Sus scrofa: one gene and its partner. The protein of the gene in region 1 purifies or fractionates together with the protein of each later gene. This does not show direct contact. Links are inferred from orthologs where the notes say so. Each region holds a gene or a part of one and is shown on either strand. Other genes may lie near its edges.

What was found. The genes of interacting proteins can lie anywhere in the genome.
Region 2: the proteins of PDIK1L (region 1) and CDC37 purify together in Homo sapiens (affinity purification with mass spectrometry; 3 studies listed by BioGRID and IntAct, counting the BioPlex papers as one, with this or other methods). This does not show direct contact. The link is inferred for Sus scrofa from reciprocal best matches to the Homo sapiens genes PDIK1L and CDC37.

The regions. Positions count from the first base shown.
Region 1 is NC_010448.4:83,547,888-83,553,505, forward strand, and holds part of PDIK1L (serine/threonine-protein kinase PDIK1L), read left to right. Parts: intron 1-1,366; coding exon of another isoform or gene 1,367-1,375; exon of another isoform or gene 1,376-2,682; intron 2,683-2,688; coding exon 2,689-3,429; 3' UTR 3,430-5,618.
Region 2 is NC_010444.4:69,209,309-69,215,709, forward strand, and holds the start of CDC37 (hsp90 co-chaperone Cdc37), read right to left. Parts: upstream 3,602-6,401; 5' UTR 3,508-3,601; coding exon 3,406-3,507; intron 1-3,405. UniProt on the Homo sapiens protein: Co-chaperone that binds to numerous kinases and promotes their interaction with the Hsp90 complex, resulting in stabilization and promotion of their activity. Inhibits HSP90AA1 ATPase activity.

The DNA of each region.
Region 1 (5,618 bases):
CAAAGACATTAAAACATGTGACTTAGTGCTGATGGTATCCTTGAGTCTATATCAAGCAACCATTTTAGTAACTAGCCATTAGCTAGCAAATCTTTCAAGACTTTAAGATGTAGTGTGTATATGTATAACTGAATCACTTTGTTGTACAGCAGAAATTATCACAACATTGTAAATCAACTATGCTTCAATAAAACTTTTAAAAATGAAAAAAAAAAAAGACGTCAAGTACTTCCAGACTTGATTCAATGTTTTGTTTTGTTCTGTTTTTAAATCTGAGGTACCTTTTGTTTAGTAATCTCTTTCATCTTTTCAAAGCCTGATACACCTGTATTTGACTGGTGGCACTTTTTGCTAGCTCTATGACCTTGGATGAATAACCCACCTTTTCCCAGCATCTGTATATTCCTGTGTAAGGAATAATAATTTCTACCTTCCATGGGAATTATCAAAATTAGAGGTGATGCAGATACAATACTTGGCACATAGGAAGTATTCAGTAATAGGTAGCGCTATTAAAATTGTCTTTCCTATGGATTTATTTAGTTAATCAGACATTCATCAATACATTAGCAAATGCCTTCTTTAAATTTACACTAGTAGTAAAGACAACCAATATTTACATCTAGAAAAGATAAACCTGTAGTGTGACCACAGAGTTCCTATACAAGGTCTTTACCATTTGCTAAATAAATATTTATTTTTCTCTATGTTTTTCTATATATCTTCCTTGTTCTCATTCAGTCATTCATTGACAGCTAAAGACCTCACCTAGAGGAAATGTAAAACAAACAATTAACGGGACACATCTTACGCATAGGAACTTAGTAGCTGGTCTGTATACTTGTGATGAGCGCAATGAATGAAAAATATGGGATGGTATAAACACATACAGTAGGGAAACTGACATAATCCTGGGGTTTGGGAATTATGAACTGTCTCAACTGAAACTTGCAGGGAAAAGAGTTAGCCAAGTGAGTGAGTGAGAAAACATCCCAGGCAGGAAGAACTATACATACAAAATGTCTAGAAACAAAAAAGCATGAAGCATTCTAAGAATTCAAAGATGGTAATAAGACTGCAGTGTACAGAGAGAGTTGTTTTAGATGAAGCTAAAAAAAACAGCGTGATCAGAACACTCAGAATCCCATAGCCCATGTTAAAGAGCTTAGACTATATCCTAAGGGAACAGGGAAGCTATTAACAGACTTTAGGCAAGAGGACCAATGGTTAACACCCTCTACACGTGAAAATAAGTAGATTGGGTTCTGTATTTCTGAAGCTCTCAACCAGGGGCCCTCAAACTATGGCCCTTAGTCTGTTTTTATATGGCCTGGATATTTAAAAATAGCTTTTACATTTTTTTAAGAGTCGTTAAAGAAAAAGGAAGAATATGGAACAGAGACCTTATGTGACTTGTCAAGCTTGAAATATCTACTATCTGGCTGAATTCTAAACCATTATTTGAATGCTGGAACTCTGCATTGCTCCAAGCTATTTAGGAAGTTTGCTTTTGAGAATGAAGACAGAAGAAGAGAAGAAATGAAAGAAGAGTGATGGCAGTAGTCTTTAATCTCAGCATGTTTAGTAATAGGGCACCTGGTAAATAATTGTGTGATCTGGACCTCCTATCATTTTCTTTCTCAATGGGGCAAACACATACAATAAGGAAAATGCATGCAAAAAAGATATCTGCAGACTATCGCAATTATGGCAGTTTGCCATAGGGGGAGATGGTATGGAGAGGTGTGCTTTGCCTCGCCCCACAAAATGGCAAAAGGAAATACTAGTTGATTTAAACATAAAATTAGCAGTTCACTCACTCTTCAGCAACTCTTCACACTCCCTACTGGGTTTCTGTTCAACCTGTGGGAATGAAAAGGATACCACACAAGTGCTTTCAAAGCACTATATTTAAGAATGGTACTTCATGTTCAGTGAAGTAATTAATATTCTTGAATTTCAAATAGAGTTATAATTAGATAATGATACAAGTAAAACAGTGGTTCATTAGATTTTCAGGTTGTATCAAACAAATACAAAATCAGATTTGAATCCTTATGTCAAAATGCATGTGGTTTTTATAAATTGGTTTCTAGAAGCCGTCTAATGATAGAGATAGCCAGCATATTTGCATTCTGCTATAGAAGTTTATGTAGTAATGACATCAATCTTTATTTTTATCAGTGGCTACAGGAGTACTGTATTTCTGTAACAACTAGTTTCTTGATCATCTTTTTCTCAATTTCACAGATTATACTGATAGCAAGAAGTAGATTTCAGGCAGCTTCATGGAATAGAATTTCCAAATTGATGTTTATACTCCAGCTGGCAATCTCCCAGGTCTAGCTACTGAAACTTTGATCTTTTCAGGAAGCTATTAGCTAGGTGGTTAGAGTTCAGCTCTACTGACACATGCAGAAAATGCATAGCCAGTTGGATGCTTTTCAGAATAAAGCTATTTATAAGTAAGTTTTTACCTCTTGACTTGGAGATTTGATGTGGATTTGTTAGGGATAGATTGAAGTGCTAAAGTTTAAAATAAAATACACATCTGAAAGCACTGACCAAATAAGTTATACATGGAATTTCCACCTCGAATTGGAGACTAACTTAACCAGTAACTCTTTCTCTATAGTTGAATGGTATAAACTGTGCAGAAATTATAATCTGTTTTTCCCCTTCTTATAGCTTGTAGAGACTTCACTAAAAGGAGAAATTGCCTTTGATCCCCGAAGCGCCTATTACTTGTGGTTTGTGATGGATTTTTGTGACGGAGGAGATATGAATGAGTATCTGTTGTCTAGGAAACCCAATCGTAAAACTAACACCAGCTTCATGCTTCAGCTGAGCAGTGCCCTGGCTTTCTTGCATAAAAACCAGATCATCCATCGAGATCTCAAGCCTGATAACATCTTGATTTCTCAAAGCAGATTGGATACCAGTGACTTGGAACCTACACTGAAAGTGGCCGATTTTGGTCTAAGTAAAGTTTGTTCAGCATCTGGACAGAACCCAGAAGAACCTGTCAGTGTAAACAAGTGTTTCCTTTCCACAGCATGTGGAACAGATTTCTACATGGCTCCTGAAGTGTGGGAGGGACATTATACAGCAAAAGCTGACATCTTTGCTCTGGGGATTATCATCTGGGCAATGCTGGAAAGGATCACATTCATAGACACAGAGACAAAGAAAGAACTCTTGGGGAGTTATGTAAAACAAGGCACTGAGATTGTACCTGTTGGGGAGGCGCTTCTGGAAAATCCCAAAATGGAACTTCTCATTCCTGTGAAGAAAAAGTCTATGAATGGGCGAATGAAACAACTGATTAAGGAAATGCTGGCTGCAAACCCTCAGGATCGTCCAGATGCTTTTGAACTAGAACTCAGATTAGTACAAATTGCATTTAAAGATAGCAGCTGGGAAACGTGACACATTATATTATTTGCAAATATCTTGGATGATATGCTGCTTCTGTTTTAACAGTGATGCAACATAATGTGGCTGAAAAAGAATATAAAAAGCTAAACTCCACCTTCTAAGGGTTTAGATTTTATCATGGAATTTTTTTCTTTCCTCATTTCTCTTAAGTCCAAGCTGGCCATTTTGTTAATATGTTTTAAATGTGTATTACCAATGTAGGTGTAAATTTTTTTAAATGATCATTGGTAGAAGTGTGGCAGGAAAATTCTCTAAGAGCCAAGAAGAAAAGAGTCCAGTTTTCTGGAAAATGTCTCTAAGTATTTTAGACATTCCTTGTCAGTATTAGGAATTTCCATGGAAGAAGAGGTTTGCATGCTGGTAATGCAACCTTTGAAGCTTTGTAAAGGAAACATATATGTATATATTTATGTATATGTAAGTATGTGAATGTGTGCATTTTGCATTCCATATGAAAAAAATGCCACTTCTGTTTAAATTATTTGATGTAGGTTTGGGTTTTTGAGATTTGCTGGTGAAATCAGTGATGAAAAATAAAAGAACCTTCCCTTATCTTCCTACCCTGTTCCTCCCTCTAATGAAATCATACTAAGTTTTTTTTATTTTTGTAATATTATACAGCTTTTTTTAAGGCATCGTTTTGGAGAGTCTAAAATTATCTCATTAAGCATGAGTGAAGTTAAGTGATCCAAAGCTGCTGAAGTATGAGCTCTCCAGTGCCCTATAGCTGCAGGAGTTGAATTAGCCATGCAGTCATGTGATAGCAAATTGGCAAGGACATTGATGATTCAGTCATACTTTCTTTAGGTAACCAAGCATTCAATTAACCAATTAAACCACTGCATTAGGACATGTCTGCACTTGAGCATCTACAATCTGATATAAATCTGAACACAAGATTCTTCTGTTGCTGAAAACTTTGCTGTAGATGAGCTGTAGTACATGATAAATTAGTTTTTGATTTCAAGATTTTGTCTAAGCCTCAGCGTAAAGTTGAAGAAACCAAATGAGCTCTACCCTCACATTGCCTGCCCTAATATGGTCTCTTGTTTAATCACTGGAATTCCTTTCATTTTGGCACTAATGCTATTTTCTCTCATCTAATTTGACACAGGAATGGTAGTGATATGGTTGTATTCAATGTTGATCACCTTTTTCTAAAGTGGGAGATGATACCTATACAGCTTGGCAAATGGGTAAAATATTGCGGCATCAATTATCTTTCAAATAGAAAAGTTATCAGTTTTATACAATCACTTGGTGTGGTCTATGTCAAGAACCAGTAGACTTATTTTTCTTGAAGTCGGTTTGATTGTAACCCCTTATGGTTATCTCCAATTTGTCTTCCTGTAAATGCAGATAGTTCAAATCTAAGGGAAGAAAGTTTTCCTAAAACAGTACATTAGCCTTTAAGGTTGTTAATAATTTAAGAACATTGTATATAGGTTAATCTTTATAAAGCACTAGAGTCTTTGGTCAAAAGTTTAAAAAAAAGTATTAGAAATATTGAAATCATTGATAGTTCAGATAGTCTCCTCAGCCTTTTTGAACTTCCACAACTTTTGGAATATTGCTATCGTAATCTTCTTATTTAAAATGTGTTCAGGGGACTATAAAAGGTGAAAAAGCACAAAAAATTGGAGTACATAAAATTTCTGAACTATGCATTACTTGGTCTGGAAGTTTAAAATTTGGACTGAAAGGGTAAAACCTTTTAAATGAAAAAAGTCATATCCTTTTAACATTACTTTCAAGCTAATAAATATAAGAATTCTTTAGGAAATTAGAGATGGAAATATACTGGAACTTCATGATAATTGACCCTCTGGATTGCCAAATTAGTATAATACAGATCTGGCCAAGAGGATTGAATTTATGGAATTCATTATAATGTCTCATCGATAACATGGCACTTCAGCAGAGATTTATGATGATTTAGGTGATGGTATGCCAATGCTTTGTATGCTCTTCAAATATCTACATGTCATGGTTTCCTAAGTACATAGTTTTTGGTCCTGCCTCATTTAAAATAGTTAATGATTATAACTTATTTTGAAAAATACTTTATTTTACCTGTGAAGTGGAATTCCTTCTTTCATTGGCAGTAAAGAAGTGAGGTAACCAGGAAGTTTCTTCTGAAATTTTCTCAAGTCCTTGTATTCTAAAATAGCCTATAATAC
Region 2 (6,401 bases), on another chromosome or scaffold:
CCTGTCCGGGCAGACAATCTCTTTCTGGGGACTACACAGGGGCTCAAATAAGAAAATGTACTTCAAAGTGCTTAGCCCAGAGTAAATGCGGGTCACTGGGAGTGGTTGCTGCTGCATCATACTGGCACTTACTGGCTTGTGACCTTGGCCAAGCTGCTTACACCTCTCCCTGCCTTGGTGTCCCCCCTCCAAAAAAATGGGGCCTCACAGAGTTGTTGCGAGGACTAAAAGAGTTACTTCAAGGAAACCACTTGCAACACAGCACTCAGTATACACGTCCCACTGTTAACACCATTGTCACGGCCAAGGCCACAAGGATGGTCTGCTAACTTGCTTCTGTACTTTATTCGAGGTTGGATCTCTAGGTCCTAGCACAGGGCCGGGCCCATGCTGGGTGAGAGTTGGGAGACCTGAGCCCTTCTCTATTGCTCCACAGGAACAACCCAGCCAATCACAAGCCTCGCTTTTCCCATGTGGATGAAGATGGGAGAAAGCCCTTGCTTTGCAGGGAATGCCTTGCATCTTCTGTCACCTCTCTTGCTCCATGATGGGCCTGCGTCGCCCTGGAGCCTTCCCGCTACAATATGAGGGGCTCTCTATGGTTGGCCTCAGGTGACAGCAGGAACGTACCACGCTGCTGGTTTCTGCTGGGTAGCCATCGAAATCTCGGCATCCTCTGAGCAGCTGCCAGGAGGCCCAAGCTAAATAAAGGACTCCTGGAGCGGTGAGGGTGGCAGCCTGCCTGGCATGGGCTTTACAGCTCTAGGAGGGGCTGTACCCAGCTGGGCAGGGCAGAAGCCCCAGCAGTGAGAAGGGGCCACAGGTGTCACTGACACCTTGCCTTATACATAAGGGAACCGAGGCTCCCAGAACCTTGATGCCACATAAGCTCACTGGAAGGGGCCACAAGAAACCAGTACTTATTTGTCTCTGGGCAAGGGAGCCAGGGAGGCAGGGAGCTGGAGCTGGGAGGACTCACCTGTCCCCTCTGGAATCTTGAGGTTCTTTTTTTTTTTACCATGAGTGTGAATGACCTAAACGATGACAAAAACTAAAGTCTCCACAGAACTTATTCCATCCGTGTGCTGTCCTGAGAGTGTTAACACACATTAAATACAAAAGGTGATCCTCACAACAACCCTATGGGGTAGATACTGTGAAGATTCCCTGCTGGGGAAATGAAGGCACAGAGCAATCCAAACTCACTGGGAGGGCTCCCACTGTGGCACGAGACAGGTGGCATCTTGGGAGCACTGTGACTCTGGTTCAATCCCCGACCTGGCACAGTGGGTCAAGGATCTGCCAGTGCCACAGCTGCAGCTTTGGTCACGACTGCGACTCAAATCTGATCTCTGGCCTGGGAACGTCACATGCCATGGGGTGGCCAAAAATGAAAAAAAAAAAAGAAAAGAAAAAGAAAAAACAACTTGCCAGGCAGTAAGTCTGTGATTCTGAAGGAGCCAGGATCTGAACCCAGGTGGGCAGGCCTGCGCTCAGAAGCACTCCAGGCTATTTGTTCTAGAATCCCCTCTTTCCCTCTGGAATGCTTACTCACTTCCTATGATTGACTCGTGGAGGTGGGGGTCTTGCTCCCCCTAGAGTAAAGCACCAGTGTCCTGTGGCAGGGCTGGGATAAGAACCTAGGCTTGCCTGCCACTGAACTTGGTGCTGCTGGAGACACCAGGCTCTCTACCTCCGACCCTCTCCACCGCTGCCCAGGAACTCTCAGTAGCAGGCCAGGAAAGAGTTTTGGCCAGGAGGGAGAAGGGCGTGGTGAGAGGAAGACGAGGTAGGAGAGGGGGCACTAGCCTGCCGCCCAGCAGGACCAGAACATCCACCACACAGTGGCATAGATTGACTATGTGACAGTAATCCATGTTCCTGAGGATAGTCTTCAGAGCTTTGCAGAGATCTTAAATATTTCATGATAAAATGTTACACATGGCAAGAAAGAGAGAAGTGCTAGAACTTTCTTCTTACACTCCAGCGGCTTGCCCAGCAGGGACACTACCCAGGAGACTGCTGCTTTAAGGAATGGGTTGGAACTAGCACTGGGTAGCAGATGTAGGGACTCATGCTGTGTCTTGGCAGGAAGGGGAAGAGCCCTTCTAGGAGTTTCTAGAAAAAGGACTGGGAGCTGATACACGGAAAAATGGGGTGAGGAATTCCTAACTGGAAGGTTCTGAGAGGTATATGCCCTGAGTTTCAAAGTCTCATAGGCACAGGAATGTGGGTGCCGGAGCTCTGATTTTGGGGAGCAGGAGGCTAGAACATTACATCTTAGGAGGGCTATTTTGCTGGCCTGTGAACACTGCTGGGTGGGAGAAGGGCAAGAGAACAGACTTTGGGATCCTGGAGTCTGGATTTGGGGAATAAGTAAAAGTAGGGCAATGAATCTGGAATCAGACTGGGAGGGTTTCTGGTAAAAGCAGGGTCACTCTGGGTGTCTGAGATCAGCAGTCCATGCTAGGGTCAGAAGGAAGAAGGGGTGGGTTTGGGTCCTGGACTTGCATTTGAATGAGGCTTTCCAAAGCTGACTCCTACAGGAAGCCTGTCTTGGGTGGGGGGGAGAGTTTGGTGACTGGGTCTGCAGTACCAAGCAGGGGCAGGGGCTCTAGCTGGGGGGAAGCCACGTGGGTAGGATTTCCTGACATAATGGGAAACTGGGTCTACAGTATGTGAGGCTGAAGGAGAGTGGCCGGAATTGGAAGCTCCATCAAGGGTAGAGCTGGTGGTTCAATCTGAAAGGGAACTAGGTTTCAAAATGCCAGTCCTAGATGGGACTAAGGATACTGATGGGCACTGGTTTAAGTTCCAGGAAAGGGGTCCTGGGTGTGGGCTGGAGTCCCACGCCAGGAACAGAAATCTCAAGGAAGGACAGAATTCCTTGTTGTATTTAGAGGATTTCTGGATCTAAACGGGAATCACCACTGGGACCCAGAAAGGCCGATCGAAGAACAGACTTACAACTTAAAGTACTGGGAACTCTAGGGATTGGGAGGGGCCCATGGGATGTCCAAGATCACAAGGGGGTACTTGAATAGGATCAGGGTCAAGATTCTGAGGTAAGATTCGGAGCGTAAATGGAAGGTCCCAAACGGAACTGGGGGGGAAGCCCAAAGCTTGTCTTGGTAGTTAAACTCTGAAGAAGGTGCCCTAGGGGTGAACTGGGAGTTCCAAGAAGAAATCGGCAGGGGGAGGCTCGGATAGCAGGCAAGGGACTCAAGGGTCCCGGAAGTTCTGGGATCCCGGAGTTGAATCGAAGAACCCTGGGCGCTACTGAAAGTCCAGACTGTAGGGTGGGAATCTCAGGTGTCCATGGCCGGGTTCCTAGCAGTATCTGAAGTCAGAACTCTGAAGCAGAGACCCGGGAGTGGGGGAAGGGGCTGGCCGCGCGCGCTCTACCTGGTGCCTCCAGCGGAAGAGGCTGGCAGTGTCGATATTGGGGTGCGTCTCGTCTTCATCGTCAGACACCTCGATGTGATCCCACACGCTGTAGTCCACCATCTTGCCTTGGCGGCCCAGCCAGCTCCGACTCTGGCGGCGGTAGCGGCAGCACGGAGACTCGGACCGCCGAGCCCCGCCCCTTCCGCTTCCGTCTGGGCGCGCACGCCCCCGCCCGCACGTGACGTCACATCCTTAGTAACCCTGGCAGCGGCCCTGGCGACCGAGTTCTTAAAGAGCCCTGCGCACGTGTCCCAACTCCTGGGATTCTCCCTCAAACCTCATCCCATCCTGCTTCGGGCACTTCCTGGGGGGTATATGAGTGGGTTCTCCAACCTCGAGCCCCGCTAATCTCCTGCCGCCGCATAGTGGGCCTTTACGGCGGCCGTAAGTGAGCAGTTGGCGAGCCTGAGGGAGAGGATTGTCCTCTTAGCCACGCTGCAGTGACGTCAGCCCTAGCCCACTGCTGGGTTCCTTGTGAAGGGGGATTTAGCTGTGTTGGGGAGGTTGTCTGATATGGAAGGACCTTCCCAGTCCGAGGGGTACAGGACCCTGTCCTGGGAGGGTCTAAGTGAAGGAAGGATATGGCCCTGCCCTTGAGGGGTTGGAGGTGATGGGAGTGCTGTGGCTCTGCCTTGGGGCCTGGTGTTTCCCCGGCTCGAACCACAGCCTCCTCCTCGCTTCTGCCACTCCTGAACGGGGATTCGCGCGCCCCCCTTCGGAATCACCCAGACTTCATTTAACTAGTCTCGGGAGCCGATCCACAGCGTCTCCCCGTGCGGCCGCTGGGTGGCACCAATGTCTAACTAGCGGCCAGTGCTTCTGGCCTCACACCAAGTGGGGAATCTTTCCCGGTGGTAGTGCTCTAGGACCGCTAGCAGGCCTTCCCCTTTCGTCTGGGGCCCCTTTTCTGGTCCTGGGCTCTAAGGACTCTTACATTGAGCTTGAGCGACCCCAGCCACACACTTTCATATATCCCTACCCACGCTTTGATACCAGGATAAAAGGCCGCGTTGCAGCCTAGGGCCGGGATTATCTCAGATTAAAGGATGCTCCGATGGCGTGGGGGATGGGAGAAGCTTCAACCACTTGCGTGAAGGGCGCCTCTTCCAGACTCCCCCAGAGTGGGCGTTTGGAGGGAAAAGGCTGGAGAGAAAGGAGTAAAGGTCTCTAAATGGGGGCGCAGGGGGGATGGGAGGGGATTCCCCAGTCGGGGGAAGGGGAGGGGACACGTCCTGACAAAGCTCCTGCCCGCTGCCTCCCCTCCCCCTCACGCTTCATTCAAACCGGCAAGGAGGCGGGCGGGGGCGGGGGAGTCCCCCTCTCCTCCTCCTCCCTCTCCAGCCCCGGCAGTCCAGCATCTCAGCAGCCGTCACGGCCTGGGCTCGCGCGCGCACGGACCCACACCTCAGGTCTGACAATCGCGCGTGCGCGCGCGCGCACACACACACACACACACACACACACACACACACCAGCAAACAACAAAGGGTCTGGACACCCCTGTCCCCTCCCGCCCCCCAGGCCGGAGAGGGCGGGGCATCCCCTCCCCAGTCCCCCTGCAAGGTAAGATTTGGGCTAAAAGCTGCGGTGGGGAGGGGAACCTGGCGCCCAAGAGGGAGGGGGCTAAGACGGAGGGAGTTTTCCTGTCCCCCAGAAAAGTCAGGTACCCCCCATTAAAATCAAAGTCCCCCCTGTACGCCCTCTGAGGGCTTCAGGCCGGCTTCTGGGCTGAAGGTGTGTGGGGAGAACCCCGGATGTCGGGGATTCCGGGTATACACGGGGGTCTCTACCTGGCTGCGGATACTGGAACTTCCTGGCCCCAGCGAAACAGGATCCCAGGAGACTCAGCTCCCAGAACTGGGGACAGGGCGCCGGAAGCTCCCCCAACAGTGCCAAGCGTTTCCTAACCTCCTGCCAACACAGCATCTCTAGTCCTGGGAACTGAGACAGAGATCCCCGAGTTGCTTTGCACCGTCCCCGGGTCTCCCAACCGCCCTCCCCACATCAGTGCTTCCCTGGCTGTATGTCTTACACCTGTGTGATGGGGGTGGGGGACTGGGAATGCTCCTCTAAGCTACCCAAGCTTTCTCTGCTGCATCCCACAGCCAGACAATGCTTAGCTGTGGTGGTAGGACTGGGTAGTCAGCTTTGCCTTCCTGAGCCTTGATTTCCTCATCTGGGTGATGACACACCTAGGATTTGGGGAGGTCACGCATGCGAGTCTGCTGTTACTCCATCATTTATTTCACAGTTCATTTAACACATATTTGGCAAGTGCCTACTGTGTGCCGGGGTACTGTGGCCAGGCTGTCAGGCTACAGCAACCAACAAAACCAGCTGGGTCCCTGTTCTGCTGCCCCTGGAGGCTGGTAAGGGAGAAAGATCCATATGTAAACAGAAATGCCTACCGTGATTTCGGACTGTGAAGACTGAAATTCCACGAGGCTTAGAGAGTGACTGGGGCGCGGGAGTCAAGATTAAATGAGATTTGGAGTTCCTGTCCTGGCGCAGTGGAAATGAATCCAGCTAGGAACCATGAGGTTGCAAGTTTGATCCCTGGCCTTGCTCAGTGGGTTAAGGATCCAGCGTTGTCGTGAGCTGTGGTGTGGGTCACAGACACAGCTCAGATCCTGAGTTGCAGTGGCTGTGGTGTAGGCTGGCAGCAACAGTTCAGGTTAGACCCCTAGCCTGGGAACCTCCATATGCCAAGAGTGCAGCCCTAAAAAAAAAAAAAAAAAGGATTAAATGAGATTTGAGATTTGTGGTTTGTATCTGCCTTCCTTCATTCACTTTCAGCTCCATGAGGGCAGGGCCAGGTCTAGAACAGTGCCTGGTACACAGTAAGTACTCAATAAATATTGAATAAGTTAAAGAGGGGATTACATTACAATTATTTTCATAGCACTTTAGATCAGATAGGAGACTTATCATGAACCAATCCATCCTCTCTCCCA